Linked DNA regions of Drosophila melanogaster. The protein of the gene in region 2 interacts with the protein of the main gene of each other region in a pairwise test. Each region holds a gene or a part of one and is shown on either strand. Other genes may lie near its edges. The genes, in order: CG18262 and CG11635.

Region 1 (3,921 bases), on a different chromosome or scaffold from region 2:
CTAGAACTATCTCTTATTCTCTATTTGTATTTCTAGTGCTATACTATTACTTACTATTGGTTCTAGTGAACAAAAGTCAATGCAGATCACGTAAATACATAGGTCTATAATTGGAAAACTTAGTTGGTCTTGGGTTTACCCGTGATACCTTATCAATGCATTTTCAGTGCTTAATTAATCTTTAGTTTTCAAAACATTCTCGTCAATTTGATTGATTTTAACTATATTTGTAACTGAGTACGTCCATTTGGCAGAAATGTCAGCCCTATTTTAAACTAGTTTACTTAATATTGCATCTAGAATTATGCTAGGTTTTAATTCTTCAGTTTATCGCTTCGAAAAACTAGTAATGAGTGAACCGACCAGCGCATAGAATATAAAATATGTACCTTTTTTGAAAACAACGAAGGGGCGGGAATATATTTTTTTAACCTTTAACGCAAAAGCCTCCGTTTATGATCATCAATTTCGTTTGGAAAAAAAAAAAAAAAAACAACAAAGGCTGTATGTATTATTTTATCCCAATACTTAACTTAGTCCATAGCGATACGAACTACATGTTTAGAGCTAAGAATCCCGGGTAGAATGCACACGCTGGCAAGGATTAGAGCCCAGACTCATCTGGACTTGGATCGCTGACAGCTTGGAACCCTCTCCGTTTAGGAAACCCCAATAAAGGACACTTTTGTACCGCAAATCAATCGTTTTATGCATCTGCCTTCTGGTTTCTTACGATTATTAATTCATTTCCAATCTTCTGATTTCTCTCATTTATTATGGCGCAATTTGGAACTTATAGATGAACTACATCTAACCTTATATTAATCCTAGCTAGCTACTCAGTTGGCCAGGCGCCAAGTGGTGGGTGCAGTCTCGGTTTGCTTTACCAGCTGCTCCTCCACATTGAGGTCGATGGCCATGGTGATGGTGGTGGTGGGCGGACTCTTGCCCTCGATCACCTCGATGGTGACCGATTGCGGCAGCGGCTTCACAGCTCCCTTAACTCTCGCCGGATCATGGCTGCGCATGTGGGCATTTAGACCGCCGGACTGGGCGAACGTCTTGCCGCACAATTTGCACGCGTACTTGCGCTGCTCAGAGTGGAGCAGCTTGTGCACCCGCAGCGCCTTCTTCCGTTGAAACGTGGAGCCGCAAACGTCGCAGACGAAGGGCCGCAAATTGGTATGCGATACAGCATGGACATTGAGGTCATGAAAGCTATAGAATGCCTTGCCGCACACCTCGCATTTGGCCGGCCTTTCGCCCGTATGGCGACGCATATGCGCCGTGAGAACGCCTCGATCTCGGCAAGGTCGTCCGCACACCTCGCAGATGCAGGGCATGCGACCAGTATGGCAGATACTGTGCGAGGAGAGCTCCTTTTGCGTGTAAAAGGTCGCGTCGCATTCCGGACACTTGTGCGGCTTGATGCCACTGTGTCGCTGGCGGTGGCGCATCATGTTGCCCGACTGGGTGAAGGGTTTGCCGCAAATGTCGCAGAAGATTCCCGTGTGCTTCCAGCGATGGCCGCGCAGATCGCGTTCGGTGCGAAATGTCTGGTTGCAGGCTTCCTCGTTGCATTTGTACACCTTCGGCGGACCTTTCCGCTTCTTGCTATTGCGTTCACTGGCGGATTTGTCCAGACTTCCGCCGTTGGCTTCGCTGTGCTTTAGGCGGCGATGGCTCTGCAGGCTGCGTTTGGTGTTGTACGCCCGGTCGCACTGATCGCATTGGAAGAGCATGTCCTTCGTGTCGTTGCTGTCCTTCGTGTCATCATCATCCGATTCCCCCTCCTCCTCCTCGTGAGTTTCATTATGCTCCGACTGCTCGCCGCCCGTCCAGTCGAGTTCGATGTCCAGCAAATCCTCGCGAGTCTCCACCAGGGTGTTCTTCATGGCCGCTGCACGCTGGTAATGCTGGCGTTTGGAACCTTCCTCCTTCTCCTCCTCCTCCTCCTCTAAGTCCGGGCTAGCTTCCTTTGCCAGTTCCTCATGTAGCTCCTCATTTCCCTGTACTTCGACGACGTCCTGGGCAATGGGATCGCTTTCCAGTTCGTTGGAACACAGCGAGCTGGAGCTGTTCGTGAAGTGTTTCAGCCGGAAGTGTTCCGGGTAGCCGTCCAACGGCAAACGCTGGTCGCACAGCAAGCAGCTCACTTCGTAGGAGGCGGGTGCACTGAATAAGACCTCGCCGCAACGCAGATTGTGGTAGCCACCGGCCACATCCGGCGGTGGCTGCACCTTGATCATCGCGGCTTGCTCCCTGGTCTGCCTGTGTGGAAGTGGCGGTCAACTGGCTCCGGATTAGCAGAGGATTCCAGCCGTTGGCGTCGCTTTTTTGTAAGTGTTTGTTTCAAGGGGGTGGGGAAGGGTGGTTTTCCCCAGCTGATGGTAGTGTTGGCTAACGAACCGCAGTGTTGAGCTTACCTTGGTTGTGGCGCCACATTTGAAATGGTATTTACTCCGATAAGTTCGTTATCACAAGTAGTTTCTAGTCATAACTTGGCGGAAAATCATCATGCAGCTTAAAGAATAACTGTTTTGAACAGCCAATTATCACTACTAACGAACCCTATCACTTTTGGGCGGGCATAGAAAAATTTATTTTTGTGTCATATTTTTCATGTTTTTTAAGGGGTAACATTAAATTAAAATTTGCAAAAAAATGGAAAAATTTTGAATTCGCAAATTTGAATGCAATTCGATTGGAAATTTCATTACGAGTTCAACGAGATATGACATACCATATTTGGTCAATTATTTTCAAAGTTCTGGGCAAAAAACTGATTATTTTATGAGGGAAATTCGGAAAACCGGCTTTTAACAAAAACAGAACAAAAATTTAACAAATTTTGACGCCAATTTTCATCAATACCTTGTCATATTGATGAAAATTAATAATAATAACATCGTCACAATCTTTTATCAAGTTCTCCGAAAATAAAGGATATGTAACGGTACATTCTGCCATTTACCAACGGTAAAACTTATCGATAACCGACCGCGCCTATCGCTGTGTATTCGGATTTTCGTATTCGAGTATACACTTTTTTTCGGATTGATTTTTCGCTGTCCAATTGGAGAAGTTCGAACGGGATAGGACACACAATCCCCGAGAGATATCCATAGAAGCGCCATCTCAGAGCAACCATGTCGGAGGCGGCGGTGCCAGCGAGCAATGCGAACGCGAATGCCACTGAAAAGATGGCCAGTTTGGTGCGAGAGGCGGAGAATTTGAAGACCAAACTGGAGGAGGAGCGCCAGAAGCTGAACGACGTCAATCTGTCGAACATCGCAGAGCGGCTGGAGCAGATCGCCTATGTGAACATCAAGCCGCGTAAGGTGCTCAAGGGCCACCAGGCGAAGGTCCTGTGCACCGACTGGAGTCCCGACAAGCGTCACATCATCTCCTCGTCGCAGGACGGACGTCTGATCATCTGGGATGCGTTCACCACGAACAAGGAGCACGCCGTCACCATGCCCACCACCTGGATTATGGCCTGTGCCTACGCGCCGTCGGGCAATTTTGTGGCCTGCGGCGGACTAGACAATAAGGTCACCGTGTATCCGATAACCTCCGATGAGGAGATGGCCGCCAAGAAGCGCACAGTGGGCACCCACACCAGCTACATGTCGTGCTGCATCTATCCGAATTCCGATCAGCAAATCCTCACGGGCAGTGGCGATTCCACATGCGCTTTGTGGGACGTGGAATCGGGCCAGCTACTGCAAAGCTTCCACGGACATTCCGGCGATGTAATGGCCATCGATTTGGCTCCCAACGAAACGGGCAACACCTTTGTCTCGGGCAGTTGCGATCGCATGGCCTTCATCTGGGACATGCGCTCTGGTCATGTCGTTCAGTCCTTCGAGGGTCATCAATCGGATGTGAATAGCGTTAAGTTCCATCCTTGCGGAGATG
Region 2 (3,428 bases):
CGAGGGATATCACCGATCAACTTAAATTGGATCACGAGATGGAAGCAAATCAGTCTTTGGATTCTGAGTTAACCGGTGAAATAACTAATCAATCTAGTTCGGTAGTTTCAGAGTCTTCGATTTCCGATGAGGACTTCGGGGAGGAGCTAATAAAACAATCTCACAAAATCGAGCAAATTGCGTCTGCTGGCGATACTCAAGAGTCCAGTCCTTCAAAAACCAATGAGAATACTCCCAAGACTGATGACACGCAGGACACTCAGCCTAAGGAAACCATACACACCTACAGGCCCTTTAGGACTATCGAAGTTCCTGCCAAGAAGCCTACTAGTAGCCTTAGCACCGAGTCAATTGAAGAGCAGCCGTTGAACCAGGAACCCCAATTCGGCACAGGTATCCATTTAGATAGAGAACGGTACAAAGTTTCTGCTCAGCTGACCGAGTCCGAGTCCCGCTTACTTATGCGCATGGCTCTGAAGCAGGCTTTAATCGATCTGGAGTCTGGCCAAAGCAAGTACAAAGCAACAATTCTGGAGGCTGAAACCGAGTAATACAAGAGCACCAATGACCAAAGAAATAAACATAACCTTTAAAACTTATTTTTTATTTTTATCCTTGTTCTTATCTTTCTTCTTATCCGTGCCCTTATCCTTCTTATCCTTTTTCATCTTCTTGAGCATGTCTTTTCTCGCCTTCTTGGCCTTTTTTATGGCACTGGGACAGACGTGGTTCTCACCATGAATTTTGACCCACTGACGACCCCGCTCCGCTTCGCAGAGGCTCAGGGGGAATCGGCACTCGCACTCGCGAGGTCGATATGGTCGCTTGGCCAGCTTAGGCTGCTTACAATCCGACCAGCAGGGCATCGGTGCACACAACCTGCGGCAGCAGGAGGGCGTCTTGGCCGCGTGGCATCTGGGCGGACGACGTCCTGGCACGCATCGTGCCAACGGAGCGAAATGGGGACATGGTCCTGTGGCTGTGGCACTGAGCGTTGTCCGCTCGCGCCGCTCGGCCACCCGACGGGCGGGGCTCAGAGCCTCCAGCTTGTCGTAGGCGCAGATTATCTTCTTGCGGATCATGAACTTGGGGCACTCCACCCAGTGGCGCTGGTAAGGACCGTTCTTGCAGGAGGGACGGTAATACAGCTCGTCGAATGAGGGCAGTGGTTTGGTGCAGTTGGGTTCGCAGCACAAGTCATTTGATCGGCTGACCACGAAGGGGTACGGCGGAGGCAGGTTCTTCGGCGGATCCCACATCGACTTGAACTTATCCCCTTCGGCGCAGAAGGCGGCCGGAATGCAGTGCGTCCGGATCTTGCATTCTCGTTTGGCAGAAGGAGACTTTGGTGGAGATGGTGACGATGGTGGCTTCGGTGGACTTGGAGGTTTTGGGGGTTTATTCGAGGAGCCGCTCTGACGTGAGCTGAAGCCCCTTAGTAGGGAGGACCAAAACATTAGCCGAAACTTTTAATGAAAGTGGAATTTTGAAAATTTTTGTATACCGTAACGCCGTTACATGAATCGCTAAATTAAAATTTTTTGCTTGGTATCCGAAATTTCGATCGAGGCCTACTGGACGAAAAAGAGCTGGTTGAAAATTGGAGAAAATCGGAAGAGGGTCCTGTCGCACACATTCACTTCTCCTGCAACTCAACTTCAATGCAACGGCGACAGGCAACACAAAATTGCAAACAGCGGACTGCGCATGTTTAAATTTAATTGAACATTTAGCCAAATTAAAATGCATTTTATTACGCAGCCGCTGTTTCTGGCCTGGAAATGCAAAACAACGCGCGCCCAATCAGCCAGGCCAAGTCAAGTAAATCCAGCGGAGTTGGCCATACGCGCAGATAGACGGAGGAAAAGGCAGGCCACACTGGAAGAAATACAATAAACATATCCAGAATTCGCATATCTACTCAGTTCAGATAATCAACTCGAGATAAATCCATCCACGATGATAAACAAACAGTAACAAGAGTATTGAATGTATACTATTCGTCCGTATTGGTTGCAATTTTTTCCAGTGTAAAGACACAGGCACGGCCAAATCGAAAGACGCTGACTGGGCCTAGGCACGCAACGGTTATTCAGTTTTGTCGGTTTTTCGATTTGGCCTTAAGTTGGCTAGGCAGTGCCTATGCGAAATTTGGCACAGATTCGCGGCAGATTCGATGCTATTCGGCTGGGATCGGATCGGATTTTGGATTGGACCGAGGCGGAACTGCGAGTTGCAAACTGGTTGGAGACAGGCCTAGCAAGCATGCGTTCTGCAATTGTTTAATAGCCTAATTAAGTGTGCGAGCGAACAGGTTGGCCAGGCCGGGAAAGTCGGAAAATCAGAGAATCGGAAAAGTCGGGCATATGCAAAGCCAAAGGAGCAGAGCGACTGTCATGCTTCACCAAGAGAGATGTGATGTGAAGTGATGTGACGGGACAGTGACTGCCATGCGGGTGGTTTGTCAGCTGCTAATGCCAGTCTGTCTTTATTTTCCTCTTTCTATTTTTTACTCCTTGTTCTGGCTTGCAATTACATTTGGCTGTTAATTGCATTATGCATATTTATGGTAGCTCTCCGGCTGCAGCTCCTCCCCCGGCAATCGAGTTAGGTCCGGAGCAGGATCAGGAGGCAGAGATGAGCAAGGAGCAAGGGAAGCAGACGGATCCGGCGACAATGCCGGCTCATTAGCATACATCAGCGCGTTAAGCTCGGAGCGAGTGTCTGACTGAGTTACGACCAGCTTTCCACTGTCTGCAGCTGCCGTCATCATCACCATCGCCATCGCCATCGCCATCGCCATCGCCATCATCATCTTCCTCGTAGTCATCGTCATCCAGTGAGTGGCTTAGTGGGTGTTGCCCTCTAATTTAAATTAAAATATGAAAAATACTCAACGAGTGAAAAGGGGTTTGGTTGCGAACAAAAACATCACGCTGCGAAAACTGAGAAACGTGCAGAAAAATCAAATCTAAAATAGCTGCTGGACATGGCATAATCAAATTGTGCGCACTGGGAGAGTAGGGAAAATCATATTTGCCAGGAGATTGTTGTCGCTGTGTGTGCAGCTGCAACTAATTATATTATTAAGATTTAAGATAATTTTTTATGCTTCTGCATTTCACAGATAAAATGAAACCAAAAAAATATAGAATAAGGCATATAGAAAGGTATAGCTCATATTTCAGGCACTGGCAAATAAATGGCAACATATCACACCATATTATAGAATAAACACAAATTGTATGATTCCAGCAATTTTCATAAAATATGTATATCTCTGTATATCCCACACACTAAATTCCTGGCCTGAATTACTCTTCACTGCTTTTGCTCGCCAACACCCAAGGTATTTTCACTGGAATGTCCAAAAGCCATGCTCTCAGTCGAAGTTTTCTTGGCTCAAGAGTGCGTGGGGTTCCTAGAAG

The links.
Region 1: the proteins of CG11635 (region 2) and CG18262 interact in a two-hybrid assay, tested with the Drosophila melanogaster proteins (one large-scale study listed by BioGRID).

The regions. Positions count from the first base shown.
Region 1 is NC_004354.4:8,151,372-8,155,292, reverse strand, and holds CG18262 (uncharacterized protein), read right to left. Parts: upstream 2,346-3,921; 5' UTR 2,250-2,345; coding exon 840-2,249; 3' UTR 760-839; downstream 1-759. Other genes in the region: Gbeta5 (G protein beta subunit 5), read left to right, coding at 3,150-3,921.
Region 2 is NT_033778.4:8,356,636-8,360,063, reverse strand, and holds CG11635 (uncharacterized protein), read right to left. Parts: upstream 1,527-3,428; 5' UTR 1,458-1,526; coding exon 597-1,457; 3' UTR 592-596; downstream 1-591. Other genes in the region: spaw (spacewatch), read left to right, coding at 1-551.